4 linked regions of the Rhinolophus ferrumequinum genome follow. The protein of the gene in region 1 purifies or fractionates together with the protein of each later gene. This does not show direct contact. Links are inferred from orthologs where the notes say so. Each region holds a gene or a part of one and is shown on either strand. Other genes may lie near its edges.

The links.
Region 2: the proteins of ACTL6A (region 1) and SMARCC1 fractionate together in Homo sapiens (co-fractionation; 8 studies listed by BioGRID and IntAct, with this or other methods). This does not show direct contact. The link is inferred for Rhinolophus ferrumequinum from reciprocal best matches to the Homo sapiens genes ACTL6A and SMARCC1.
Region 3: the proteins of ACTL6A (region 1) and SMARCD3 purify together in Homo sapiens (affinity purification with mass spectrometry; 3 studies listed by BioGRID and IntAct, with this or other methods). This does not show direct contact. The link is inferred for Rhinolophus ferrumequinum from reciprocal best matches to the Homo sapiens genes ACTL6A and SMARCD3.
Region 4: the proteins of ACTL6A (region 1) and SMARCD1 purify together in Homo sapiens (affinity purification with mass spectrometry; 8 studies listed by BioGRID and IntAct, with this or other methods). This does not show direct contact. The link is inferred for Rhinolophus ferrumequinum from reciprocal best matches to the Homo sapiens genes ACTL6A and SMARCD1.

Annotation. Positions count from the first base shown.
Region 1 is NC_046285.1:64,535,531-64,543,349, forward strand, and holds the start of ACTL6A (actin-like protein 6A), read right to left. Parts: upstream 3,001-7,819; 5' UTR 2,817-3,000; coding exon 2,792-2,816; intron 1-2,791.
Region 2 is NC_046300.1:8,039,042-8,046,469, forward strand, and holds the start of SMARCC1 (SWI/SNF complex subunit SMARCC1), read left to right. Parts: upstream 1-4,409; 5' UTR 4,410-4,513; coding exon 4,514-4,708; intron 4,709-7,428. UniProt on the Homo sapiens protein: Involved in transcriptional activation and repression of select genes by chromatin remodeling (alteration of DNA-nucleosome topology).
Region 3 is NC_046309.1:3,660,562-3,667,658, forward strand, and holds the start of SMARCD3 (SWI/SNF-related matrix-associated actin-dependent regulator of chromatin subfamily D member 3), read left to right. Parts: upstream 1-4,080; 5' UTR 4,081-4,460; coding exon 4,461-4,538; intron 4,539-7,097. UniProt on the Homo sapiens protein: Involved in transcriptional activation and repression of select genes by chromatin remodeling (alteration of DNA-nucleosome topology).
Region 4 is NC_046293.1:50,883,119-50,890,676, forward strand, and holds the start of SMARCD1 (SWI/SNF-related matrix-associated actin-dependent regulator of chromatin subfamily D member 1), read left to right. Parts: upstream 1-4,539; 5' UTR 4,540-4,987; coding exon 4,988-5,164; intron 5,165-5,844; coding exon 5,845-6,032; intron 6,033-6,319; coding exon 6,320-6,362; intron 6,363-6,456; coding exon 6,457-6,579; intron 6,580-7,061; coding exon 7,062-7,184; intron 7,185-7,558. Other genes in the region: ASIC1 (acid-sensing ion channel 1), read left to right, coding at 414-567, 981-1,072, 1,553-1,632, 1,708-1,812, 1,946-2,050. UniProt on the Homo sapiens protein: Involved in transcriptional activation and repression of select genes by chromatin remodeling (alteration of DNA-nucleosome topology).

The sequences.
Region 1 (7,819 bases):
TCTGCTGATATCCCCATTTTTCAAGCATGAGAGATACATCTGTTTCCTGTACCTTGTTTTGTTAAAAACCAAGCACCAACGTATGGGAGAATGGCAAATAAAGATAGGAGGCTTAATATTATCACCTCAAGAGTCTGGATATTTAAAAACTAGGATGTAATCTAATAGATAAAAACCCTCAAGGGTTTATTCCCTTTTATACTAAAAATGCTGCGTCTCCATGTTTTTGACAGTTTTGATGTTTTCCCCCCAGAGTAAATGGCTTTCAAGTGTAAGGGTGATGTGATTTTTCTGGGAAAGCACAAAGCAATGGTGGCAATCTGCTAACCTGATCTTAAAGCATTCCAGTACAATACTGGAGGCTGCAGTAATGATTTTGGGAAGAGGTAGGGAGATAGTTTTATTTTTATTTTTTGTATAGTGTCTCCCAATTCATGAGGAAGATGATTTGAAGAAATTTTAAGGTTAGAGATTTAGGGGTGCAGAAATGATGAAACTAACAATTTATCAAAGTTGGGTGGGTAGCGTACCTGTTTATCGTGCAAAGGAGTCTGAAGTAGAGGAGAAGCATTAAAGATGATTGGAAGAGCAATGAGTAGGCCCAGAAACCAGTTAGAAAGTACAGAAATCTGGATGAATTATGCATTATACCTCGAGCTAAAGATCAGTGTCTGATCTGGTCAGAAATAATTATAGGAAAAAGACAGCCGTAAATTTCAAAATTTTAAAACTAAAATTTAAACTCATTTAATAAGTACACAAGTTAACAATACGCTTTACAAAGTTAATTACAAAATTTAGGTGGGAGGTTTGGTTGCTTTCCACAGTAAACCCTTTGGAAAATGTGACCGACTATAAATAATTGTCATACATACAGTGATAGCACAAACACAAAATCATATATTTACTTTTGTGAGTTTAAACTATTTCATATGTGAAATAAGCTTTAAGACTTATTCCTTTACATAAGCAATTGAGAAAGAGGATATTAATTCTGAATACCTGAATCATACATGAATATGCTGTGGTTATATACTTGAAAAATGACTTATGGAAAAATAACCAAAAATCTTTTTTAAATGGTAAAGATTTTTACTGAAATGCCTTTTCTTCATTCTAAAGATTCTTGTTCTTTGGGCTTATTAATCTTTTCTGTACCTCATTTTCTCATTCAATAAAATGGGAATAGTAGTACCATCTCCTATAGTTGTTGTGGATTAACTGAGTTAATCCAAGTATGCAATGCAATGCATTAAAAGCCTCTGTAACAGTTCCTGGTACACAGTATGCATTCAACAAATATTAGCTGCTGGCGTTACTAGTATCCATTTCTACCTTCGTCATATTAAATAATGCCTTGCAAGGAAATACTCAGTGCAAAGCCTCTGGGTCCTTGGATCTGTGAACCTGAAAGTCAAAATAGAGTCAACAGCCTCCAGGAGGCAAAGGACACAGATCCGGTTTTCCTGTCAGGACTCCATCTTCAGATGGGGAAGAGGTAAATCAATAAGACCTACTAGGCTTTCTCCAAAGTAAAATGGGAATATGTACTCTCATGTTTGAGAAATCAAAACGAAGAACATAAACGGGTATAAAGGGAATGAGGGTCAGTCTACCGTCTCAGAAGAGACTCAAGCTACATTCCAAAAACTAGGAATTTTGAAGACTTTATTTCTTACCAATAGAATGCCATCCTTTTCAGAAACAGCATCCTTACTAGACACAATAACAGGATTTGTCTCCTGTTCTCTAACGCATCAAACACGAACACAAAATATAAATCATCTACATCTGTGTTTCATCTAGGTAATCTGTAAAAACGGAGGCTCCGATTCAGTAGTCTTACAGTGGGGCTTGAGATTCTGCAATTCCAAAAGATTGCTGGGGATGCTGAACTCTTGATTCATGGACCTCACTTTGAGGAGCAAGTGTACTATTATCTCATTTAACCTTCACAAGCACACACTGGGTGGGAATTATCATTCCACAAATGAGGAGCCTGAAGTTGAGAAAACTTAAAGTCACCTGCCCAAGGCCAAAGCGCTAAACGAATGGTGAGGCTGGTATTACAACCCAGGTCTGTGTGACTCCCAGGCCCCTGGTAATCTTTCTACTACACCGCAGCCTACCCAAGGAAAGCATTCTTAAATTACCTGTATTCCCAAATTCATCCCGGACACGCGCACGAGGAACTTGGACAATCCAGTCAACAAAACGCAGGAGTGTTTGAAAGGCGTGAGGCAGCAGGAGCGCTGAGCGCGGACCGAGAGCAGGCTGCGTCCTGAGTGGCCGCCACTCTTCCAATCACTTCTACCTATCGCGCTCGCTTTGCCATCTACCGGGCGTTGCGGAAACCCCCCCGCAAACTGCAGAGACTTCCCAAGTTTAAACACACGCGCGCACACCCCGACATGCAGAGTTACGGAGACACTGGGAGACATGCGACCCTGGGACAGGTCACTCAAGCCGAGGCTCAGTGGGCCGGCCCCCAGGACGCAGCTGCCGTCCCATCCCCGCGGCCGGCGCGCATCCCCCAAACCCGCTCCTCCGAGGACCGAGGCTGGAAGGGACCGCAGGATGCGGTGACTCCAGGAGACCGAGGCGTTCAGTGAGCCGGGTGGGCGCCGAGGGCGGCGAGAAAGCCGGGCGGGGATGGGGAGGGAAGGCCGGACTCCCGAGAACTGAGGACCGGAAGAGACCACCGTGGAGGGGTGAAGCGGAGAGGGCTGGGGACGGCGGTTGTAAACCCCGCACGCTAAAACGGCTTGCTCTTTAGTCTGGCTGTACTCACCTCCCCCGTACACGCCGCCGCTCATGGCTGCTGTAGGCGCGACTCCTACGATGAAAACTACCCAGAGACGTGCCTGCAAAGGCCGTGACTGCAGGTGTTGAGAAGCGCTAGCCTCCTGACCCCCTTAACTTCTACTATCGTAGACCCCCTCAGGCAACAAAGCGGCATCAACACACCGCGTAGCGCAGTCACACTTGCTGTCTGCTTTTATCAGCCAATCGCGAGAGGCCCGCAACCCTTCAGCCAATCAGAACTCGGGTCTGGGGCATGTCTGCCGCGGCTCAGCCAGTTTAGCCAATAGAAGGCAGCCAAGAGGTAGGAGAGGGGAAAGCAACGGAAGAAGGGAAGGAGGTGGGAAGCTGAGTTGAAGGAGGCGGAGCTACCCGAGTAGGCGGGAGATTGGGGCGGTGGGAGCTGTACACCTAAGAGGAAAGTGTCGGGGGCGGGTCCAGGAGTGTCGCTGGGAGCGGAGGAGCGGTGGGATACCGCTATAGCGAACAGGATAAACCTCTGGAAATTGCCTGGAAATTGAAAGTGTCTCCACGCGTTGATTCCCGGTTTGGGAGCGTGGTGAATGCAGAATTTTTTTTTTTTTTTGTGGTTCAGAAAAAGTATTTTCAACTGAGTTTTATGTTGAAAAATAAAAATGTTATGCTTCATTTGGGGTAGGAAATCAGTAAATCAGACAATGATGAGATCCTGTAACTTTTTAAAATGGTATTAATAATTAAAACGTAAAAGAGATGATTGATATACTATCCTAACCAAATTTAGGTAGCACTTTCAAAATTATTTTTGAAGTGTCATCAATCTCTTTTATCCTGTAAAACAGTTACAAAACATTGTAATGAATCCTTATTCAAGTGAGAACCTAATCCTAAATACATCTCCAATATGTCTACTATTCTTAGTCCTCTGTTTCTGCCAGCCAGGTCAAGATCTCCATTGTTTCTTCCAGGGATTACTGCAACAACGTGTCACTTTGGTGCTTGGCCTCATTCTAGGCCGCTTGAACTATAAAAACACCCAATTCGGTTCACGTCACTCCAGCTCAACCCCTCAAATCAGTTGTATATCCTTGCAGTTGCTAGCAGTTAAGTTGGTTTGTCTAGAGTTTAGACATGTAGGAGCTGCTTTTAACCTTAAACACAATTGAATAAAGCCCCATCGGTCTCGGTGACAGCAGCGTGGCAGAAAGTGATTGACAGTAGGGCGGAGAAGAAAGCTAGTGAGAAAGCTCTTTCCCATTTACTTGACAGTGTAGTCTCCATATATACCTGGTCATTCAGGAAACCCCTACTAACCCAATGAGATGATACAGAAGTCAGCAAACTATAGGCTCACGGCCAAATACAATCTGCTTTCTGTTTTTGTATGGCCTGTCAGCTAAGAATAACTATTACATTATCAATTGTTTTTAAAAATATTTTTAAGAATAATATTTTGTGATGTGAAAATTATATGAAATTCACATTTCAGTGACCGTAAACTAAGTTTCATTGGAACATAGCCACGCTTATTCAATTATGGTTGCTTTTGCTCAGTATGGGCAGAGTTGAGTAGTTAGGACAAAGATTGTGTCACCCACTAAGCTGGAGAACATATTTACTATCACACCCCTTTATAGAGTTCACTGATCCCTGAGATAGCGCATGTAACACATCTAGCACAGTTCCCCTAACTGCTCTATGTTAATTGTTGCTTCCATGATTGAAGCTTCCACTGTAGATGTATACCAAATACCAAAAATGTTTCTATTTCCGCCATACATTTTTTATGTTTTGTTTGACTAATAAAGCTGATGAATTATAATATGTGCTACTGTGGTAATAATTGAACATTGAAGAGACGATATATTTGGTTACACTACACAGCAATCCATTTAAATCAATTTGTCATTTAAATGTATACTTCTTATACAAGTTAAATAGATTTTATATATGTATATACATAGAGTTCATATATGTATATAAATAGATGTTTTTTATATATATACACACACGTATATATGTATCTTTCAGCAATACTATCGCTAACATCTCCTGTGCTGTAGAAATAAAATACTCTGGGCTGAAGAGAGCAAAATATTTGTTCCACTAGTTCAGAGTTCAGCAGAAAACAAAACAGCTCAGCGGGGTTAATGAGGACTGCACCCCTAGCCTTCAGGGAACCTTAAGATGCTGTGATTGACTCCCCCCACAGAGCATATACTGGAGAGCATGGGGAATCTTCAATCTGATAGCACAGAGACAGCTTGAGGAAATACTGGAAAGTCATGCTAAGATGTTTTTACTTAAAGTACGGGTTATGCTTCACTAGTAATTTTGAAAAATAGAAAACAGATCATATGTTCATAACTTCAGGTCAACTTGTCCTCTTGATGTATCATTGGGCACACTTAAGCCCTTCATAAATTTTAATCAGCGAAAAGATGTAACAAGGTACTAATATTATTGGCCCTAAAGTATTGAATTGCTGGGTTAATGAACTATTGAGAAGGGGAAACCTATTCAGCATTCTAAGAAAACATGTCTGTGTACTATGCGCATCCACAGTAACAATGACATTGTTTCCTTAGAGGAAAGACATACAATGGCAGTTCGGTTTTTTTTCATTCTTCATAATTAGAATAACTGGTAGACCAAACATTAAAAGCAGAATCTACTTTATGAAATGTAAAATGTCTCAGGATTTTGTTGTGTTTTTTTTTTGTATTAATATTTCTCCACTGTAGCCTAACATTTTCTCTAAACTCTTGGCTCAGCCTACATTAATGTAACTGAGAGCTAGTCAGATTAAAAAAACAAAAACAAAAGAATTCAAGGTTATTGTTTGTATGTCAATTTTCAAGGGCGTAATTTATCAAAATAATCAAAGCTTGCAATTTCCCCCGCCTGAGCCAGAATATTCCATGTCAACCTGAAAATAAAAGATATTGAAGTAACATGTATGTAAACTTATGTAGCTCACAGTATATGAGTTCTGTGGTTGACTGAATCCAGATATAAAAATAAGTGCCCTTTCAGAAATCCTTTGTGATCTGCAAGCATCAAGAATTTCTTGTGTACCTGAGTGTAATACTTGGTTTTGCCTCACAGGGTCGCTGCTCTTCCATTCCTATAACGCGGCACCAGAATTCCTATGAGGCTACAGTCTCACTCTTTTCATCAGCTCTGTCAAAATTCAGATTGTGGAATCACATTACAGCAGTCATTACAAAATGCTACTGATCTTGTCCTCTGTCTCAGCCTTTATCAAGTTCAGAGTTGAAAAAAACTTATTAATGCAAGCTAGGAAACAAATTCAGACTATCATTTGTTAAGAAGAATGACACAAAAACATATTTATGTTTAGAATTATTTTATTTCATGCTGCAAAATATATGCCATTAGCAATTATGAAAAGCAAATTTCAATGGAAAAATGTTTGTGTGTATATCTGTATGAAGAGTTGTAAGTACCATAATCTGCTATCGAAGTTCCAAAACTGCGTATAACACTCATGTACGCACTACTGAGATAAAGGATGCATACGTATCTGGAGTCTGGAGTTTTTCACCAATAGATACATGATCAGTCAGATTCATACATCTGTTTGTCATTAGAATAGTATGAGATCTGCTAGCCATTTCAAATAATATGAGCTCGATAAAGAAGCAAATGAAATTATATTTGGTCATAGCAGGTACCTTATAACATACCAATAGATTGGTTATAGTACAAATAATGTGAAAAGAAAAAAGAGATCAAGTGCTAGATGCTCTATGGATTTTACAAGTCTTTATTGTTATTTCATTAACACTTTAAAAATCTCTTTGTTCATTTGACATAGCTCTTGTGAGAAATCACAAAACGAGTGAGAAACATTAACATTTAATCAATTGGTGATGTAAAGTGGCACTGTGCCACCTTGGGTCACTTTATGGTAAGCCCTGGGCTTCCCACTGATCTCGGTCAGTGCCAAAGCCTTGTTATGGGGCTGTTACACAGCCCAGAGAGCAACACTGAGCTGAGTCCCAGTTTCTTGCTCTGTACTGCTTTTTTAGAACCCTTGCAACTGTTTTGGAATTACAAAGATTTCATTCACCATATAATAATGACTACCAATTGCTGACCTCCTAATGTGTGCTATGGTAGAAAATGTGCTTTATATCTAATATTTTCAATGTAATCCCCATGAGGGTTTTACAGAAGAGGCCCAGAGATTCAGCAAATTGCCCAACATCACACAGCTATTGAAAGAGTCCAGACCTGAAACTAGGGCTGTCTCTGACCTTACCAAGCATGCTATTCCTACTCCTAAAATACCTTTTCCTTTCCACTTCCTCTACAGTTCTAATAAACTTTAAAAACAACTATTTTAATTTTTATTATATATACTTTTTAAAATCAAAAGGTACAAAAAGATCAACAGTAGAAAGTCTCCTACTGAGATCCACAGCCACCCTATTCTCCTTATCAGACATAGTGCTATGCTTCTACAAGTCATTATGTAGACATATACCCTCCCCCCAGTTTTCCTCATACAAAGTGATAATTCACAGTATGCCAGTGAGTTTGGAAAAGCACTCTCCTTGGAAACTAATTTTAAGATGTTTATTTTTGAACATTCTTATTTAAAAGTTTTTAGTAGCTAGTCTACACACATGGCTAGAAACTGAAACATCACAAAAGAATGAAAAGCAACTCTCCTTTCCTCTAATCCTTGAAATACCACATGTTGAACCACGGTTACCGGTTTCTTTTGTAACTTTTCAGAGACAGTCTTTTCAAGTAAAACCATATATTAGCATCCCTTCCCTCAACTATTGTTGTTTGTTTATTTATATAAGTCTAGCATACTGAATACATTGTTTACTGAATACATTGTTTTGCACCTGACTTTTTTCACTTAACCATCATATCTTGGAGATCATTCCATGTATTAGGTATAATTCTATCTCTTCATTTTTAACATTAGCACAGAATTCCATTATTTGTGTATGTATACACTACAATTTATTTCACCAGTTTTCTATATATAGACATT
Region 2 (7,428 bases), on another chromosome or scaffold:
CTAGAACTGAACCTGCAATATCTCTGAAGTGTGCCTGTATTTGTATACTGATCTTTTATCTTCCAACCTTGTTGAACTCATTTATTAGTTTTAATGGGATTTTTTAGTGGCTTGCTTAGGATTTTACATATAAAGGTCATGTCATCTGCAAATAGAGGTCATTTTACGTCTTACATTCCACTTTGAATGCCTTTTATTTTTTTATTTATTTTTTCCTACTTGCCCTGCCTAGAACCTCCAGTACACTGCTGGATAGAAGTGGTAAGAGCAGATACCTTTGTTCCTAATGTTAGGGGAAAAGCATTCAGTCTTTCACCATTAAGCATGATATTAGTGATGGAGTTTTCATTGATGCCCAGGAGTTCTCAATGTCAGGTTGAGGAAGTTCCTTTCTATTTCAAATTTGTTGTGTTTTTATCATGAAAAGTATTGGATTTTGTCAAACTTTTTTTTGTGTTTTTTTCCCTGCAGCTATTGAGATGGTCGTGATTTCTGTGTTTTATTCTATTGCTATGAAGTGAAATTCAAATCAAATGGAAATAGTATTAGAGAAGAAACAGCTGACCATAGGAATGTTGACACTGATTATTCTTTGAGAGACTCAAGATACACAGCCAGAGGAACTTAGTGAAGCCAAACATCCACATAAATGAGGAAACTGTGAAAAAAAGTGATGAAGACATCTCAGAGGAGATGATACCTGTAAAAAGATTCACATTACAAGTGCAAAGTACAAAATGTTGGAAGCTGATCCAAATTTAGAAAGGGGTATGAGAATTTGACAAGCCCAAACCAAAAAAGCCTTGCTCGTAAGTTATATAATGAGACATTCAAACTATTGTTAATTTTTTCACCAAAATATACCCACATTAATTCTCAATTTTCTAATGCTTTAAATTATAATGTACTAAATAAATTTAATTTTACTGTGTCCATTTCCTTATATAATGATAACCGATTGGGTTTTTAATGTTTTGATTAAAAAAATTTAAAGGCCATGGAATAATTGTAATTTTCCCCATTGATTATTAAGTTTACTTTGTACAGTTTGTACTTGGACAGTAATTTTGATGGTATTGCACTCCTATGCTAAGAGATAGAATGTATTTTATTGTGGCTAAGAGATAAGGTGTATTTTATCATGGCCAACAAATTATTACATATTTAGACTTCAGTAGGTTTTAGAGGGACGTCTTCTTGCTTTTGCTATTCCCCGACTATCTCTTCTCAAATAACTCAGTCTTAAAGCCACTAGGTAGAGTAGAGCAAGGTAGATGTAAGCATATTAGGATGGGTTAGCATTCCCGTGTAGGAGCCAGTCCCTACCTGGGAGGGTAGCCCAGCATGTAGATCCGTTACAATAGGTGAACTGTTAATAATAAGTAAATATAGTAAGGATAATAGCAGCCAGATTTTTCATTGTTAGAGAAGGAAGTTACATTTAGTTAAGTTTGCATTTAGTCAAATTTGGAGCCATTTGGGTTTGTCTGATAAAAATAAATGGAAATTTAAAGGAGGAATGGGATATTTACATACTTTCAAAATACCTCCCCAGAAAATACCAATTAATTACAGAGGCATAAATGATAACTTCACAGTAGAGAAGCCTGGCAATTACTCTCTTAACCAAGTCATCAGAGTAATGGAAGAAATGAAATCATACAAATATATGGGGATGGAAGGAGAACTGACTCTGATTGGTGAACACACAATGGGATTTATAGATGATGTAATTCAGAATTGTACACCTGAAATCTATGTAACTTTACTAACAATTGTCACCCCAATAAACTTTAATTAAAAAATTAAAAAAAAAAATCATGAGCCACTTGATTGTATGAAATGAAAAGAACACAGTATGAAGAATATCAGCCAAACTCAAACTGAGGAACATTCTACAAAATAACTGGCTTGTAATCTTCAAAGTTGTCAATGCTGTGAAAGTTAAAGCCTAGGGACCAGTCCAGATGGAAAGAGACTTGAAACTTGACCTAATGCAATGCATGATTCTGATCTGGAATCTTTGCTGCAAAGGAGGTTCTAGGAGCAACAAGAAAAACTTGAATGGGGTCTGAGGACAGTTTTAATGTTACTGTGATTATTTTGTAAAAGAATATACTTGTCTGTAGGAAACTTGAGTGATGGGCATGATATTAGCAATATACTGTCATAGTTCAAGAACAGAAAAAGTTCTTTGTACTATACTTGCAACTTTTTGTAAGTTTGAGATTTAAAAATAAAAACTTTTAAAAAATGATGTAACCATTTTATTTAAAATGTCCATTTTTATAATGTGCTCTTCAATGATTTAATTTTTGATGAAAATTTTTAGATATTTTTCTAATATAAAAGGTGTATGGTTTTCCAAATTATTTTAGAAGTTATTTGAGCATGAAGTTGGAAGAACCACTGCCCTGGAAGAACCAACTTCCCTATGACTCCAGCAAATGAAAGAGCTTTCAGAACTACTCCAATGCGTTTTCTCTGCTGTACTCACATGCTATTACTAGAAAACACATTGTGCTTGAAAAGAGAGGGAAGTAGTACTCCAGGGTGTAATTCCTGGGTTCAAAAACCTGACTCTAATATGTACTTGTTAGCCAGGTACTTAACCTCTCTCTGCCTCAATATCCTAATCTGTGGGAATGCAGGTGTACTTAGCACAAAGCACCACACAGAAATGCACCGTAAACCCCAGCTATGATCATTTCTAAAGTCTGAGCCCTTAGAGGGCATGATCCATGTCTTACTCATATGTTAATCTCATTGCTTCTCATTCCTAGACTATTTATCAGGTCATCTTTTCTCCAGTGTTTTTTCCTCTGATCTATCATTCACTGTTGCAATTGTTATCTTCCTAATCTGTAAATCTGATCATGTCATTCTCTGTTCAAGTTGGTTTCCCAATTTTTACAGGATAAAGTCAAAATTCACTGCAACAAGCGAAATCTCTGTTTCCATCCCATGTTTAAGGAGAGTTCCACCAAGCATGCTTTCACACTTTAATGGCTTTGTTCTAGTTGTTTCCATGCATCTGAAATGTTCCCATCACATTCTATTCATTCTTAAAAGTTGGTCTCGGGCAGCCAGATGGCTCAGTTGGTTAGAGCACGACCTCTGAATAATGGTGCCCGGTTCGATTCCCACATGGACCAGTGAGCTGTGCCGTCAACAACTAGATTGAAGACAACAGCTGCTGCTGAGTTTCTGGAGGGGCCGCCAGATGGCTCAGTTGGCTCAGCTGGTTAGAGCGCAGGCTCTCAATGATGAGGTGGCGGGTTCAATTCCCACATGGGACAGTGGGCTGTGCCTTCTGCAACTAAAGATTGAAAATGGCAACTGGACTTAAGAGCTGAGATGTGTCCTCCACAACTAGATTGCCCTCCACAACTAGATTGAAGGACGACGACTTCGAGCTGATGGGACCTGGAGAAACTGTTCTCCAATATTCCCCCCCCCCAAAAAAAAGTTGGTCTCAAAAACTCACCAGGCTTTCTCAGTCACCTTCTGTTGTAGGGTTTGTAGGGTCATATAGTGTTACGTTCATAAATCCATAATGGCCAATCATACTTTGTTAATAATGTAAAACCTTTCCACCTCTCTCTGTAGATCATTAATGCATTCATCAAATATTCATTGAACAATATTTATTAGATAACAGGCTCTGTTCCCAAGTCAAGACTAGATTTTCCTATAATTTATGTAGACGATTATTAAGAAAAATACCAAGTGGCGGTGACTGCTACGCAGAGAATGTCAATTGAGTATGATGAGTTGTTCAAGTGTATGGTCAGGGATCGCTTTTCTGAAGTATCTTTACGCTATGAATTTGAAAGCGCCTAAGTGACAATGAGAGGGGAAATGTCGCAGGTCGCAGGAAGAGCTGCTGGTCGTGGGAACAGCTGGTGCAAGAGGCAGGAATAAACTGGTGTGGCAGGCACCCAAAGAGCCCCTGGTGGTCGTCCCCTGGGCTGGTTGTGTGCAAAGGCTGACGCGGCAACTTAAGTGTGTAGAGGGTCTGAGAGCCACAGCTGGTGCAGGTACGTATTCCTGCGAGTGGGTTCCTCCGCCAGCATGCGATACCCTGAATGGGCTTTCCCTTCGAAACTTCTCACACCAGCCCTTTCCTCTCCGGCGGTGGCAAACGATGACACAGAACCTTCACGCAGTTGCTGACCGAATAAGGATCCGACAAAGGAATCACGAAAGATCTAGTCGCGCAGGGGCCGAGACTGGGGAGCAGACGAGAGCAGCCAGCATAGACTGGCGGAAGAAGTCGGAGGAGGTCCGAACCCGAAGGCCCCTGGCGCGAATGCTGCGCATGCGTATGCGCGTGCAGACGTCAGTTAGGGCGCCGGTCCGAAAAAGGGCGGGGCGAGCCATCCGCACCGGAAGGGGGTTGGCTGGGCGGGGCCGGGAGGCGGCGGTGGCGGCTACGCGCGCGCGCGGGTGCGAACGGGGAACGCCGCGAGGGCCGGGGCGGGCCGGGCTGTGGGCACGACGGACGGCGACGATGGCCGCGGCAGCGGGCGGCGGCGGGCCGGGGGCAGCGGCAGGAGCCGCTGGTGCGGGAGGCGCGGCGGCGGCTGCGGGCCTGGCGGTTTATCGGCGGAAGGACGGGGGCCCGGCCAGCAAGTTTTGGGAAAGCCCGGAGACGGTGTCCCAGCTGGATTCGGTGCGGGTCTGGCTGGGCAAGCACTACAAGAAGGTGGGTTCGCGCGCCCGTGGGAGCCGGGAGGCCACGCGACGGAGGCCGGGGGCGGCTACTGGCCTCGCGGACCTCGGGCTGCCCCTCCCCCCCGCGCGCCACGAGGGACAACAAAGGCAGGCGCCGGGCTCGCCACGCCCCCGCGGTCAGCTCTCGGGGCCCGCGGGCGCGGGGGTCTCCCCCGAACCCTCAGGGCCCTGCTCTTTGGCGCTCAAGCATCCCGGGCGAAGCCCCTGTTCCCCGAACACGAACAGTCGAGCTCAGCAGCCCGGAGGGTGTGAATCTCTTTTGTTAGCTGCCCTATTAGGTGTGTGAACAATGATTGTTAAAAACAGCTTGAACCAGTGTGTAAAAGCAGCTTCGTTTTGTTTAGAGACTAGTCTTCCAAGTCAAGTGAGGTAACTAAGGTCTTACTACCTGTTGTTGATTTGCTAGAGAAGGAACATGGACGATTGTACTCGGAAGGTAATAGGTTAATGTAAGGAATTACAGTATTGATGGGAACTCGCGTTAAAAATTGACTGGTTTTACGATATAGTAGTTTTAGTTATGTATAGTAGGAGTAAAAGAGTTAACGTTCACTTGTACTTGAGGGTTTCTCAGTGAGGCCTTCCCTGAGAGCCCCATGTGTATTAGATCACCCCACTTCATGTCATCTTTATTTTCTTCGTACCACTTTTTATTTTTTTCATTTCATTCTGTTTCTCCTTCCTTTGGGATTTAAGTTCCACCGAGTCGATGGTATTGAAAGTTGTGACTTAACCCCTTGATTATAACAAATGTTTTTTAACTTCCCCTTTATGTAAATACTTAGGACTGACTCCTTTACACGGTGAAATGAAGCACACAGCTAGAAATACTCCTTCTGCCCCCAAGTTTCCGTAACACCCTTTTCAGTTCTGTATTTCCCTATTGAAGACCATAGCACTGGGGCAAGGAGCTTATCAGGCCTGTCCAATATACAATGTGTCCTTGAACATGGTTGGTACTCATTGCCTCGCCCTTAGTAGTTGCTTAGTAAATACTAGTTGAATGAATGAAAAGATAGTACTCTAGGAAGCTGTTCATTTGGGGTCTACAGCAGAGTGAAGCCTGTTGGCTTTGAGAAGTCCTTATGCACGAACAAGGGATCTTGGGTTCGGTTGACATTACACTGTGGTACTTCCAGAAATGACGATTTCTTATCTGAAGTTTTAGGAAATGAGAGAGAATATATATTATTATTCACAGTATATTTTTAGATGTTTTGATTATTATTTCCCCCTGAAGTTTTGGAGTCACATTTGGGATTGTAGATTGATTTTTCTCTTCTGTATGTAAGTATGTAAGTAAGAGTATTGTTCTCTCTTGTACAGTTAAATTGGTCACTTTTTTGTGTAGGCAATAGAGCTTCTGGAAGTGGCTAAGGTAATTGAACATATATGTAGTCGATATCTGTACCTATACATATAAAATGAGAGTATTATATTTTATCCTGTTTCCTTTAGCTAATGCTTTGGATCTTAATTTCAGTGTCCCTTAACGTAGTTATTTTTTCCCACAGTCTGGATTTTTTTCCTCCAGTTTTACTGAGTTACAATTGACATATAATATTGTATTACTTTATCAAAGGAGCTTTAACAAAGAAAGGTACTCAGGAGTAATATTTTTTTGGATTATCCCTTTGTGACTCCCATAGGACTGTTTTACTAAATCAAATATCAAGGAAGGGAGAAGAAAAAGGGAAATAATTTCTGCTTCTCCAAAGTCCGTGTCCATCTGTTGGATCCCAATCTTAAGAGAGCAGCTTGAGGCTTAGATAACCAGCAGGTTAATGTTGGTTCAGTGTCCCTGAGGCCTTAAGACAAAGTCAAAGTTAGGTTTGATTTCTCAGGGTTTCATAAAGCCAGACTGTATTTCTTGGGTCTACTCAGATTCAGAATTCAATCTGACAGCCGGAATCCTATCAGTTTCTGAGAGTGTTGTTGGAGTGGTGAAAGTATTAACAAGACTGTTCTTTGCTGCTTTTGTACACACTGTATCTCTACTTGTACACGTTGATGGGTTTTAACTAAACTTTTCTATTGCATTTAATACTGAAGTTTCAGATTGATCAATCTCAGCAAATAGATGAAATAAGCATGACATCGGTAGTCCCCTTTTATTGATGGGTCTGTCCGTGCAGTCAAGTGAACTGAGCATCTACCATATCCAGGCACTTAAAACGTAACTCACTGAAATCCTCACAACAGTCCTGAATGATAGACATTATTTACTTTATATTACACATGAAAGGAACCTGAGGCTCCCGATTTAAGTAACTTCTCTAAGATTGCTGGTAGAGGTGGCAGATTTGGGATTCAGTGAATCCTGCCTGGCTCCAAACCCGTTTTCTTTTTTGCTACACATCATTTCTCTTTGAGGAACTCACAATGTGGAAAAGATAGACATAGACACCTACCCAGGTGATTGCAAATTAGAAGAGAACTTCGTTGTATTTTCATTTTCTAAGTGCCCTTAGTAGATGTTCAGTAAATATTTGTTTAATGAATGAAAAGGTGAACTAGTTTAGGAACCTCTTCATTTAGGTTTTGTAAATACGTTTGGCTTAGCAACACGGAAGGGAGGTGAGTACTTTTTGGTTGGAATGAATTTCTGGTCTGCCAAAGAAGTCCAGAGGAGGGGACCACTTTAGATAAGAGGAATCCGAAGCACAGGGAGGTTAACTGTTTGCCTGAGGT
Region 3 (7,097 bases), on another chromosome or scaffold:
CTCCTGAGGAAGCTAAGGGACAGGGAGGAACAGCGACTTGCCCAAGGTCACACAACTATTTTGGTGTCCTATTTTTCCTTTGTTTTTTACTTCTTTCTATCATACGTGTTTCTCTTGTGTGTTTGCAAAACTGACACAGAAAGGCGAAGTCTCACAGAGGAATAGACAGCCCCCTCCATAGTAGCAGAGGGTCCTGGACCCAGAAACATTCTCCCACAAAGAGGAAGAGACCCGGTGCTGCTCTGGCCTGGGAAGTAGTGAGGGGTGGGGTGGAGGAAGTCCGTGCCACCAAGCCTCTGGTCTGTTCTGCCAATGTCCTTTCTGCTGGCTGGAGGAAGCCCCTCACTAGAGGTGGGGGTTAAGGGACAGACTCCCCTCCAGTCATCTCTGGGCGCTGGGCCTGGCCCCATTGGCTAGCCAGGGTTCCCTGGTGTCCCAGGACTTAGGCTGGGGCAGAGCCGCCTCTGGGCCCCCTGGCTTGCCCTGGGGTTTAGTGATCAGAGGGGAAAATGGGGGCTGGCTTTAGGGATGGGCCAGATCACTGAAATCAGGGGTCCTTAGCCTGAGAGCTTCCCTCTCTCTCTCTTTCTCTCTCTCTCTCTCTCTCTCAACACACAAACACACACGCCAATCCACGAAGGTAATTCCGTTTCGCCAAGGAAAGCTTTCTTGCTGGGAATAGAGGAAAAACCGGGCAGTGCAGAGGTCTCTCCCTTCAGCTGGCTTTCCTTTGTTCCTCCCCTGCCTTCCTCCCTCTCCCCTTCCCAGCTTCCCTCTCTCCTCCTAGCTTCCTTCTTCCATTCTCTCCTCTTACTCCCCTCCTGCTCCTCCCCCGAGCAGGGTCCCCGCAATAGGACTTCCACAGAAGGTGGGGAGGGTGGGACTCCGGGTTCCGGCCCCAGCCTCGGTGACCATCTTCCCGCAGGGAAGGAGTTAAGTCTCCTCGCTGCATCCCTCCCTCCTCCGCCTCCCCCTGCCACTCCGAGTCCTGCAGCTAGGCCCTGGGCTGACCTTCACCGGGAGGGAGGCCGCAGTGCGCATGCCCGGCCCGGTTACTGCCCGGCTCCCACCGCTGCCGGGGCCCGGGCGGCCGGGCGAGGGAGGGCGGTCGCGGGCCGGGACGTGCCCCCGGCGCTCGGCGCGGTGGGGGGGCTGCCGAGCCTGTCCCGCCGGCCGCGGCGCATCTCTCCCTGCGCGGGGAGCGGCGCTTTGCCATTTGGTGCCGGTGGTGCTTCGGCGAGGGAAGGAGAGATGGGGGGACGGCAGGGGGGACTCCGGCTCCGGGCGCCTGGCGGCCGCCCTCCACCCAGACACGCACATGGCCTGGCCAGAGCGCGCCCTGGGCCGGGTCGGCCGAGGCTAAGGGGACTGGGACTAAGGCCCCCTGCCCGCTGGAATGGGGCATACCCGGGGCCTCCTTCCCACCCGGCAGGAGCCGGTGGCGGGGCACTGCTGAGCGCCCGCCGTATGGGAGCTGAGCCGTTGGGGATCCTGGCCTTTGTGAGGTGGGAGTCCTGGCCGGGCACCCACACTCCCGCCTCTGCTTTCTAGCCCGAAGGCTCCCCCGTGACCACACCCCTGAGGTCGCCCCTGTAAAGTCGGCATGCAAACGGGACTGCGGGCGGGTGCCTTGTGAGTCTGGCCTTATGAGTGGGATGTGGAGTTGGTTAAAGTGTGCCCGTGAGTGCCGAGCCGGGTGGCTCCTGTCCCCTGGTGTTTGCATTGGGGGGAGGGGGCGGGGCATGTATGCATTAGGTGCTGCATAAGGATGTCTCCCAGGGGGGTGGCTGCAGGGGAGGCCCTGGTCCTGGGGGGGTCTCAGGAGGGGGTTATCTATGGACTTGAGTGATTCTCACCAGCTCCTGGTTTCACCATAGCCCTTGGTCTACACCCCTCCTGCAAACTCTACCACCAGCACCACCTCCCTCACAAACGCTGGGAGGGTTCCACCCTCAAACTTACCAGCTACCCAAGCTGGGGTGCCCATCTGTCTCCTCTGCTGTCTTCTTTTTCCAAAAGGCCTATCCAAGAGTTGAGAACTCTGTGCTTCACACAAAGCTAGGGGAGTGTACCCCTGCCCCAGCCCTCTAGAACCTCCAAGGCCTGTAGTTTCACAGGGCCATATGAGAAGCACCCACAGGGGGTGGGGGTGCCGTGGTGACTCCCACCTTCAGGTAAGTGGCAGACTATGAGCTCCATCCACTGGCCCACTGAGCTGTGGGCGGTTGCAAGTATTAGCAGACCTTTGGTCATGTGGACTCCCTGTGTCCAGGCATGAGGGGGGAGTGGGATGTAAAGGCCACTCAGGGGGCCACAGCCGATTTGGGAAACCAGACCTACCACACCTGAAGCACAAAGCATATCAGACATGAGTCAGCCCAGTGCCAATTTATGGCTCAGGATAGGTGGCAGTCGGCATTCAGATAAGAGAAAGATCTGTGCACACAAGTGGGACCAGGGAAGGCTTTCTGGAGGAGGCCTGAGCTGGGTTTTAAAGGATGAATATGATCTGGGCAGGTAGATGGGCAGTAGAGGGCATTCCAGGCAAAAGAATATCTGGAGCAGAGGCTTAGAAATGGGAATAAGTGAGGAGTTTTGTTTTGGAGATTAGTGGACAGACTGGAGAGATTACCTCCCCAGGTTGCCAGCAATCACAGCCACCGTCATGGCTTATGCCAACCACCCAACCATCCTCAGTGCCACTCCAGTGCCCAGCCTTTGTGTGTGTGGGTCTGGGCTAAGGCCCAGGTAGAAATTTGGTAGAAAGGGGATCTCTAGGTCCCCTGCTAAGGGAGCAGGAGGGAGGTAGAGGAGGGGCACCCTGGACCACATGCCCCCTCTGGCCTTTCAGAAGATTCACTGAGGGCCCTTACATGGCCAGGGAGCACACCAGGGCTCAAGGGAAACCGGGCTGCAGGCAGAATGGCCTCCCCAGGCAGAACACTGCCTCAATTCTTTGTCCTGACCTCTGAAGGCATTTTGAAGGGTTGAGGGCAAGGACCCCCAGGGCAATGCTGGGTCTTTCAGGCCTAACCTCAAATAAGTTTTCCTACAAATTACCCCTGGCATTGCCCCACCACCACCACCTGGATTCTGACAGTGCAGCCCCAGGAGGCCTATAAGCTTGACCCACGGTTGTCCCCAAAGGAGGACAGAGGGGTGTGGTCTTTAGGGGCATGGGCAGGTCCAGGGCTCCAAGCTTGGGGATCTCAGGACTTGCTCCTCCTGTTTCCTGTCTTTCCTTCACCCTGGGCTGCCAGCTACCTCCACATCGCGTTTCTGAGGCTCCCTCACACCTCCTCCCCTACCCCAGTGCTCTTTGGGGTCTTGAGGCTGGCCCCACTATCCCCAGGAGCCCCAGCTCCTCTAGGTCTCCCACCCCACACCCTATTCCAAGGCCATCAGGCCCTGCTTGCCTCATTCTGTCCACCCATCCACCGAAGCACCCACCCCAGCTCCTTGCCTTCCCCCACATTTTTCTCTTCCTGTTCTCATGAGCCTGATCCACCTCCCTCTTTCCAAAGTACATCCCCTATTGCCCTCACTTTCTCACATAGAGACAAAGACTCACAGACCCAGAAATAGACTCACACGGAGCTGGAAGACACGCACCCACACGCGCGCACCCGAGGCTCCCGTGGAGGGAGGCACACAGAGAAGGCGTTTGTCTGTGCACGCACGTAAACATCCACACCCACAGCCACCGCCGTGCCCACACAAGGATGGAGACACACTCGGCCGGCGAGACAAGGGCGCACACATCTGTGAACGCAGGGGGACACCGCCTCCCCGGCACACCCACCACTGCCGCCGGTGGGAGGAAGGCCTCGTCCCAGCTCCGGCTCCCCCCATTCCTTCCAGCGAATGTTTCCCTACTTGGCCTGCCAGGTCTCTGGGGAAAGGGCCTCAGAAATGCAGCAGGAGCCACTTGGGGCAAAGTTGGAACTGACTGTTCCCTGCCTGGCCCTGCCGGCGGATTCCCTAACCGAGAAACTATTTGTGGCAAGAGCCGGGTGGCCGGCGAGCCCCCTGCCACCTCCCCTCGCGTCCCCTCCCCGCACCGCCTCCCGCGGCCCTCGGGCGGCCTCGGCTGCAGTGCCGCTGCCCAGCGCCCAGGAGCCGGCTTGCCGGCGTGCCTTGCGGCTTATCTGCGCTGTTTGGACAGCGAGGGTTGGAAAGGCAGGCTTTTTTGTCCCCGCCGAGTCAACAGGCAGACCCCGGGCCGCCGGACTATTTCTGTCTTATCAGTGCAGGAATGCGGCAGCCGCGGCGGCGGCGGCGGCGTGGGCCGTGGGCCGTCGGGGCAGCCCTGACGGGGCCCCCTCCCCACTCCGCTCGAGTAGAAGTGTGAGAGAGCCCAGCAGGACTCAGAGGGGAGAGTTGGAGGAAAAAAAAAGGCAGAAAAGGGAAAGAAAGAGGAAGAGAGAGAGAGAGTGAGAGGAGCCGCTGAGCCCACCCCGATGGCCGCGGACGAAGTTGCCGGAGGGGCGCGCAAAGCCACGAAAAGCAAACTTTTTGAGTTTCTGGTCCATGGGGTGGTGAGTGGGGGAAAGTTAGCGGGGGAGGGTGAGCGAGCTGGCTCGGGCTGAATGGAGGGATGATTGGGAGGGGCCGGGAGGGGGCTCGCTAGCCAGGGCACCACGTCCCGCGGCCCAGCCCCAGGACTGTGCCGGCGCCCTGGCCCCCGAACACGTCGTCAGGCGGCCGGCAGGAGATGGGTGCCCTGGCAGGGAAGGGAGGCGTTCGCATGGGTTCTTGTCAGGGGCTGTGGGTGGGACTTGGGGACTGTCCCCCCCAAGTGGGGGGGTCCCATCTGTACCAGTCGTATTTTCCTCGGTTCTTTCCCTTGTGGGCCCAGGTGTTGACCCTGCCATGGGGGTGGGGGTGGGGGACATGGCATGGGCTGGGCTGTCTGTTCATCGTTGGGAGAGTGTCTCTCTCTGTGTCTCAGGAGCAAGGAGCAGGTGACCCCTGGAGGGCTGAGAGCAGGAAGCTCTCTGGCTGAACAACCTCTACATCCAGTCAGGAAGGCTCGGGGGCTTTGCTGATGGCCTCTGACATCAGGGTCAGAGAGAGGCTCTCTGTAGGGACAGACCCCAAAGTAAGAGGTCTGAGGATCCCCTTGGCGGACTCAGCCACCAAAACCGCTGTCCTTAATACCTCAAAGGTGTGAAGGAAGGGCTGGAGTCAGGGACGCGAGGCCTAGAGACCGAAGGGGAAGGACAGCACTGTCCAGGACTTGCTGAGGGTCTGGGAGGCAGCTGGGCCAGGTTGGAGGGGAGTGGGAGAAGCAGGGACGCTAGGACTTGGGATGGGTGCTGGGGTTGGCATAGTGGAAGCAGTCAGGTTTCCTCTGGCCAAATTTGGTTGTGACCCCAAGGAAGGCACATTCTCGGTGAGGGAGGCCAGAATCCCTTGCATCCTGGCCCTTCATTGGGGGTGGCCCTGGTAGCTGCCACAGCTCCCTGGGGCCTCTTCAGCAGATCCACCAGTATCGCTGGCCTTGATATATCATACAGCAGCTGATAAGGAAAATGGGCTTATTTGGGGTGGCCTGTCCTCCAGCCCGGAGGATCTTTGGAGTAATTTCCCAGGGGTGTCTGTGTTGGTCAGCCGAGTGACCAGTCCTAACTTTGCTGCTTGGGTGGGATTCCCTTTAAAAAGGCCCATCTAGGAAGGAGAGATGCTGTACATATGAATTTTTTATTTGGCCAACTTAGAGCTTCAATTCTTGGGTGGCTGTGGGCCTCACTGCCCACTCCCAGGGCCCCATCTATGCCAGTGGGGAATGATGGGACCTGAGCTCCATTCTGGGCCACCATCCTAGAGGTGTGAGTGACAGGGTCAGGTGGGCGGGGGGTGGAAGACACATGGACAGGCAAGTTTCACTGTGGGAGAGATGGACAGAGACAGCTGGCTGGCTGGGGGTTAGGGTTAGACAAACTGTAAGGCGGGAGGGAGAGTTGGCAGATAGAAGGCATTCACCGGGCTCAGGGTCAGGGCTCCTCATGTCTGGGGGCAGCTGCAATCCTAGGGGTAAAGGGGTAGTGTTTAAATGATAATGGGGACACAGGGTCTGCATCCCTTGCTCCCTAATCTCCTTCCTGCTGTCCCTGCCCCAGACCCCATCTTACCCACCCTCCACTTTAGAGCCACTCAGGTCCTCTCCTATCCCTTCTTCTAGAATTTGGACAAGTGGGGTTTAAAAAGTCTGTGGAACACCTCACTTGATGAATTTGCATCTCATCTGCATCCCCTCTGAGCACCTGGGTAGTGTCAAGGGAATACACCTGCCTCATCTCCTCTCCATGACCCCCTTTGAACCCTGACTGGTGACCTCATTGGGGTGAGGTGGGAAGTAGAGGAGGTCTGTGGATGGGACCATCTCTGGTGAACCAGGTGGACAGCAGGAAGGGAGAGATGGATCTAAGAGGAAATGCAGCTGCTTTTGACCTACCCAAGCCCTCTGGGCAGTTCACCTCCAGGTGGCTCCTCCCCCCGCCCCCCCCCCGCCCCTCCTCCCAATCAGAGAGTCTTGGTGGGGTTTGACCTCAGCCCCTCAGGTTGTCTCCAGCCCCACCTCTAGCCTCTACCTTGGGAGCAAATTATGGGAGTGAGCCGAGTCAGAGAAGCCCCTGGTTCTGGGGGCTTGGAATCAGCCAAAGCCAGTAGGGGTGGGGGCTGAGAGTTCAAAAGTAGGCGCCCAGAGAGAAGCGTGGGGTGCGATGGGGAGGGAGAATGCAAGGCAGGGCGGCCCAGGAAGTGGATTGGGAAGCAGGGAATGGGAAGAGGAGCGCAGGAGTCCCAGCTGGGAGCTCAGCCCCAACCTAGGGGAAGTAGCAGACAGCAGAAAGCCCTGGCTTCTCAGGAACCAGCCGCTCAGGGCTGCCTTTGCCAGGAGCTGCGTGACCTTGGCTAGGTCGCTTTTCTCCTTGAGCCACGGTTGCCTCATCTGTCAAGTGGGATGGAAGGACCTGCTTAATCTGTCTTGCAGAGGAGCGTGTGAATGTGCACATCCTTTGAAAAGGTTGAAAGGAGCCATTAATATTCATTTTCGCGGTACCTTCCGCAAATCCGACGCTGGCAATGCCCTGTGC
Region 4 (7,558 bases), on another chromosome or scaffold:
AGGGGCTGCCAACCAGATGCACAGGGGTTTCAGACCAAGCTCCCAGAAGCTTCACATAACTCCTGGATCAGGTTTCAACTGACTTCCCGTGTCTGACTTTAGCTGGGAATAGCATCTCTAGATGCCCTGGTGGAAAATACACAGGTGTCACCTGGGAGGGGCCCTCACCCTCTCGCATCAGCACCTCAGCTGGTTGGTCTTCAAGGGCTCTGAGGGAATGATATAGGTTACATAATATCCATGGGGAGGCTGGGTGAGGACCCACACAGGTTGGGCACGGGCTGGGGTGAAGGACAGGTCAGAAAAAAAGCGGGGAGCGCAGGGTTACTGTGGGCAAGGCCAGGCTGTGGTGCTGAGAGGGGCCTGGCAGAAGGGCACCACTCAACTAGCGCCTGTCACCTGGCTGGGCGCAGACTTCCTGGTGGAGAAGGACCAGGAGTACTGTGTGTGTGAAATGCCCTGCAATCTGACCCGCTATGGCAAGGAGCTGTCCATGGTCAAGATCCCCAGCAAAGCCTCAGCCAAGTACCTGGCCAAGAAGTTCAACAAGTCTGAGCAGTACATAGGGTAAGTGCTCTGCCTGCAAGGCAGGGCCCTTGGGCTGGGCCCGCGAAGGGTGAGTGGGCTTTGATGAGGTCTGGCAGACAGGAGGAAGTTGGGTCTGAAGTGGGCGTGGAGGAAAGACCCAGGCAGAACAAGCAGGGAATGCGCCTCTTCTTCCTCCTCACCTCATGCTCTGTCTTCATCCTCCTTGCTGTAACTGGGATCACCTCACACTTACCCGTGTGCACAGCATCTTTTCATATCCGCCATCACATTTAATCTTCACAACAACCCTAGAAGGCAGGTACCCCCATCAGCATCTCATGTGATGGATCTGAAGACAGAGATTCAGAGAGGATAATTTACCAAGGTCACCTAGCTAGCAAGGGACAGAGATGTGACTTGAACCTAGGTCTCCTTCCCCAACCCCTTTGCAGGGAGAACATCCTGGTGCTGGACATTTTCTTTGAAGTCCTCAACTATGAGACCATCGAGCAGAAGAAGGCCTATGAGATTGCAGGGCTCCTGGGTGAGCTGCTGATGGCACCTGTTCCCTTCCCATGTCATGGGCATGGTGTGACACCCTACCACCCAAAGCAGGCTGATCACGTCTGTCCCCAGCCATCCCCAGGGGCTTTTCCCCAAATTCTGCTGTCTTGCTATGTGGTGGGGGGAAGGGGCTGAGCCTTCTTTTAGGGCAAAGTGGAAAAGATAGGCCTGTGGGCATGAACAGGGGACTATTTCATATGCCCTTTAAATTTTGCCCAGAGATTAAGAGTGTTGGGTATTTTATAAACAATTATTTTTTTCCTGAATAGTACCTATTCATTTTAGAAAAGTAGAAAAAGATGCAGAAAAGCATAAAGAAAATAAAACCCCCTCTCAGAATCTTTGCACTCCTTCTATAAAAAAGCTGTCGATCATTTTGCAATTATGACTTGCCTGCCCGTTTCAGTGAGCTCCCATGGTGTCTTGACCCCACTGACCTCCCTGTGCCCCCTCCACACAGGTGACATTGGGGGCCAGATGGGCCTGTTCATCGGGGCCAGCATTCTCACAGTGCTGGAGCTCTTTGATTACGCTTACGAGGTGAGCAGGGGCGGGACCAAAGGGGCGGGGATCCAGGCTGCCCACACACCCACCCACCACCCCACCGTGTCCCAGGTCATTAAGCACAAGCTGTGCAGACGAGGGAAGTGCCAGAAGGAGGCCAAAAGGAGCAGCGCGGACAAGGGCGTGGCCCTCAGCCTGGATGACGTCAAAAGACACGTGAGGGAGCCAGTGAGGGGTGCCCTCCGGACCCGCCCCTTACCCCACCACCCCAGGACCACCCCTCCCCCGTGCCCCAGCGCCACCTGCGGCCCTTTCCATAACCAGTTCCTGTCCTGTGCCATTCCCCCAGAACCCGTGTGAGAGCCTCCGGGGCCATCCTGCGGGGATGACGTATGCTGCCAACATCCTACCTCACCATCCGGGCCGAGGCACTTTTGAGGACTTTACCTGCTGAGCCCTGCAGGCCACTGTACCAAAGGCCTAGATGGGGAGGGCAAGGAGAGCAAGGGGGCCCTCAACTGCCCCCCACATCTGCCCTGGGGACCCACTCTCCTTCCCAAGGCAGCCCCCCCGCTCCTGGGCAGTCCTTTCCTCCTGTGTGTGGTGAGGAAGGAGGCTTGACCATAGAGTCCTCTCCCTGTCTCTATCCCTTTCTTTTTATTTTTAACAAAACTAATCTGAAAAAGAAACTGAAAAGAGAACTGGGCAAGTGACCTCAGGCTGCCCCTCTCTGCTCTATGCTGCCTCCCTCAGCTCCCAGCCTGAATTCTGTCTGTCTGGCTGTCTGTCATCTGAGTGTCCACCTACATTCTGCTGCCACCAGTCACCAAAGCCCCCTCCCAGTGGGGGGTGGAGGGGATCCTCTGGGTCTGGAATTTGACCCCAAACCAGAGAATGTACCATGAAGGGGAGGGATAGTGGTGGTGGGGGGGGCTTCCCCAGCCTTAAGAGACCCTCTCAGCCCAGTGACTACCCCCCCAACCCCAAGTCTCCAGGCAGGAACTAAGACCCTAGTACCTACCCCCCCACACACACACCATGTGAAGTCACTAGGGTGGTGGGGGTGGGGATCCCCTGAAGCAGTGGAGATGGGGACAGTGTGTGGCCCTGGTGCTGTAGGCCACATCCTGATATCTACCACCCCAGAGCTGCTGGAGAGAAATCCCAAGAGGCATCTCTCCTCTACCATCCCCTAAAAGATCCAGCTGGTTGGCTTCCAGCTCAGGGAGAGGGGCGCTGGTGCCTAATCTCACTGGTCCCTCTCCCCGGGGCCCCTGCAGAGGGCCACATCCATAAATTTTCTTATGGAACTGTCTCAAGTCCTCTTCCCCAACTTCATTTGCTTCTCTCCACAACCTCATCTGCATTTTCTATTTCTATATGATACAGACTCTATATTGCTATATCTCTGTATATACTTTCCCCTAACTGTCCGTCTCTACTCCATGCCCTCTTGTCTCTAAGAACCATCCTCCCACTCCACCCTTCCTGTGTTTCTGCTCCCTCCCTGGTTTATGAATGCCTTCGCCTGTATAAAGAGTTGGACTCTCTCCCCTGGTGTCTGTACTGTGTACACACATCCCTCTGAGAAGCACAAGGAGACGACACGCGCATTGTAACCTTCGCACTGTCTCGGTGGCGACATAAAGGAAGCTGTGAATCACAAGCTCTGCCTCTTTCTGGCCTCACCCTCTCCCCACAACCTGGGTACCCTCTGCCCCCCCTGCAGCCTTAACATCCCCTTTCTTGCTCTATCCACCCCAAAGTCCTTTGTGTGGCTGACTGTGGCCTCTCGGGGGAAGGGATTGCTACCGAGAGAGCCCCCACCCAAGGAATGGAGACCTGCTCTGCACACTAAGCCAGGGGTACCAGAAACACAGGGAGCTGTGGACCAGTGACCCCTTCAGGTAGAACAGCAAGCGCTGACAGGCAGACGCTGAGGTCCTCAGTCAGTGGCCTTTCCCTCCTGGGTGCCCAGCCCCTTTCCTAACTGGATACCCAAGCCCATCACTTACATTTTTTGGTGAGGTATGGTTTGGTAGTGGGAGGAAAGACACAGTCCTAGAGGGGAAGTTGAAAGCTCTGCTGTTCTGTCCCTCCCTAACTTAAACAGAAAGGAGTGAGATAGAGGGCCTGCCACGCCCCCTCCACCAGGCAGTTCTCCCAGGCCAGAGCCCTGTTCCTTCCCAGGCTTTCTCTGCCCAGCTGTTTCTTGGTCTCTCACCCCAGAACTGGACCTGTGGCAGGTCACCTGTGCAGGCCTGGAGCTGGAGAGTGAGGCTCTAGGATCTTTGGGAACTCTTAGTTCCTAGGAGTTCTTTAGAGAGCAGACCTCTCCAGAGGAAAGCAAGAGCAAGGCCAAGGGGTGTGCACCGGATGGAAAACAGCAGGCAGGGCTATGGGTGACGCATGCCTCTGGTCTAATAAACTGGATTTCAACCATCTCCTTTTCAGTGTCCTTCTTCTCTTATTTGAATAGTATTTAGGCGTTCCCATTAAGAGCCTAGAGCTGAGCTTGGCTTGGAGCCAAACATTCACAGGAGGAGTAAGGCTTGAGCAGGGAGACCCTGGTCGTCCTGGGATGGGACAGGCTGGACATCACACCACGAATGGTTTGAACCACTGGACAGTGAAAGAGGGAGGGGTCAAAGGCAACAAATATCCCAAAGAGAAGTCCTAGCTCAAAGGGTTCTTTGGAGTGAGGGCAGGGGCAAAATTCAAAATAAACTTAAAATCTGGAAGCAGGTTCGGTTAAAAGTCAGGGACAAAGTTGGGTTGAAGTTCTAGCGTGAGGTTAGTTACTGAGGCACTTTATCTGTGGAATGAGCCCCAGGCTACGAGCCTGAAGATCTGGATTCTAGGCTTTGACTTTACTGTTCACTTGTTGGTTGACCTTTGCCAAGTCATATACTTACTCAGTTCAGCTTTCCCATTTGTAAAATGGATTAAACAGTACGTTTTCTTCAGTCTTCCTGGCTTATAGCAGTAAGAGAAGGAAACGAAAAACAAAGCGCTTTGGAAAATTGATCGCACTACGCAAGATGAAGCAGTTATTCCACCACCCTCTTCATCAGGACGTTGGGTCTGTGGCGGTGGCACCCCTTTCCAGGGCCTGTGTTCCTCCCGTCGGCCTGGGGGCGCCCGCTCACAGGGCCTCTCTATCCCAGAGCTCGTCTCTATGGTTTTGCCTTCCCGGACCGTGAAGGCGGGAGGGAGTGGTCAGCACCCTTTTCCGCTAGTCGCCCCCCTCTAGCCCACAGTCTCGCTGCCCTGAGTCTCCCGTGCCGGCCGGCCGGCCGGGAGGACTAGCGGGCTCGTGGGGGGCCCGAGGTGGGCGGGGGGAGTTCCGGTTCCGGTTCTTTGTGCAGCTGCAGCAGCGGCTCCGGGGAAGATGGCGGCCCGGGCGGGTTTCCAGTCTGTGGCTCCGAGCGGCGGCGCCGGAGCCTCAGGAGGGGCGGGAGCGGCGGCTGCCTTGGGCCCGGGCGGGACTCCGGGGCCTCCCGTGCGAATGGGCCCGGCGCCGGGTCAAGGGCTGTACCGCTCCCCGATGCCCGGAGCGGCCTATCCGGTGAGTGGGGCGGGAGGAGGGGCGCGCGGGCCGGGGGCGGGGCCGAGCGGGGCCCTGGGAGTGACAGCGGTGGGGGGAGGAGTAGGAGGGACTCCCCGGAGAGGGATTCGGGCCCTGAATGGGGGTGGGGGAGTCAGTGAGGAGGAAGGAAGGGAGGCAGTTAGCATCCCCACCTGCTCCTAGGGGCATTGTTTCCGTGGGGAGTCAGGGTATAGAACTATGGAGGACGAAGTGGGGCGGAGGGTGGGCTGATGAGGGCTGGAATGCAAAAGGGCTTGGGCAGCTCCAGTGCCCAGAGGAACACACACAAGGTAGCTGGCAAATTGAGGTCAGCTTTCAAGGAAATAGTACCAGGTAGTACTGAGTAAATGTGGAACTAGAGGAGATAGAGGAGATGTGCAATGTGTCAGATACAAAATAGATTAGGGAGAATTTGAGTATAATCTGGCTCTTAGCTTTTGGGCTGTATTCTCTTACAGAATCATGACTGGAGCAGAGGAAGCTCCAGTTATCTGTAATTCAAAGAGGCAGAGGGCTCTTCTCCCATTGTGCTCCACTGCCCCTCTCCCCCTCCCCCAGCCTTGTTTCATTCAAAGACCTGAAGAATCCCCCCACTTTTTCTTTCTTGGTGGGTTTCGTAGGGGAAGCCATGACATCTCTGGGTCCTCTCCCCTCTGTAGAGACCAGGTATGCTGCCAGGCAGCCGAATGACACCTCAGGGACCTTCCATGGGACCCCCTGGCTACGGGGGGAACCCTTCAGTCCGACCTGGCCTGGCCCAGTCAGGGATGGACCAGTCCCGCAAGAGACCTGCGCCTCAGCAGATCCAGCAGGTCCAGCAGCAGGCGGTCCAAAATCGAAACCACAAGTAAGATGACCCCAGGGAGGAGGGGAAGGAGAGAAGGAAGGGAGGGAGGGAGCCTGTGAGAACTCAGGTGGTGGGAGTATCTGAACCAAGAAGTAGTGGTGCTGTGTCAGCCGATGGTGCTTATTCTTGAGAATGCCTCATGTTGGTTGGGGGTTTGGGGGTATGTCTTTGATTTGAGAGAAGCTTTACAGTCCTTTCACTTTACTATAAATGGAGGTGCTGACAGCCTGTCTTCATGTTCTGGCTAGTTCCATCCCAACCTGATAACAGTATTTGTTTTGAAACAGTGCAAAGAAAAAGAAGATGGCTGACAAAATTCTACCTCAAAGGGTGAGTCCAAGCTGTAGGTCTTCCTGAGGGTGTGGTGAGTTTGAGAATAGAGATGGCCAGCTCTATATCCCCATGATATCTTTCTGTTCCTAAGATTCGTGAACTGGTACCAGAATCCCAGGCCTATATGGATCTCTTGGCTTTTGAAAGGAAACTGGACCAGACTATTATGAGGAAACGGCTCGATATCCAGGAGGCCTTGAAACGACCCATCAAGGTAACGCCGGAGCGCACTAGGCAGAGAGCCAAAGGAGAGGACTTGGGAACGTTCAGTAGGCTTAGGATGAGCAATCAAAGGCACAGCACAGTTCTCCTTGGCATTTAAATTACATCTTTCCCTTCCGCCTACGAACTGAGAATTATATTAGAAGTATAAGAACAAAATAGCAAAGGGGGAGGGGCTTTTGATATCGCTTGCACCAGAAATTTACCCTGTCCGTGTTTTTGCTATAACTGCTCTACCACCTTGGGAACCTGGCACCTTGCTTGACTTTGTCCACCTGGCATCTCAGTGTATGCTCTTGCACTCAGACCAATGGCCTGTATTCCTCTTCTAGATGGAATCTTCATCCACCCACCCCAGGGACTGGGTAGACAGTGAGCCAGTCTGTTAGGAGTAATTTTGGGGCTTGGGGAGACCCTGTCTTCAACATCAAACCGTTGAAGCCCCACCATCAATCCTGTTTCTGCCTTCCTCAGCAAAAACGGAAGCTGCGAATTTTCATTTCTAACACTTTCAATCCGGCTAAGTCAGATGCCGAGGATGGGGAAGGGACGGTGGCTTCCTGGGAGCTTCGGGTAGAAGGACGGCTCCTGGAGGATGTGAGTTCAAGGTCCACTGTGGTCGGCGTCTAGGGTGGGAGCTGCTGGGGACAAACAGTGTTGTGTGGTTGGCAGGAAGCCTGACTGGTGCTCACAGCTCCTGTTGGGAACTGCAAGGAAAGGGTCACTGTATGCCCTGTGCTAAAAGACAATGGTTCTTTGTGTTGGTTCCCACAACTTGGCCCTCATTGTGGTATCACATTGAGAACCATATTGTCCTGGGATTTGATTTGTTGTTTACCTTCCTCCTGATGCTACTGGCCGTTAAATTTAGCAGTATGTGCAGATTATTCTGAGAGAAAGAGAGAGAATGAATGAATTAAAATGAATATGAATGTGTGTGTTTTAAATCAAGTGAGTTTGCACTTAGCGTT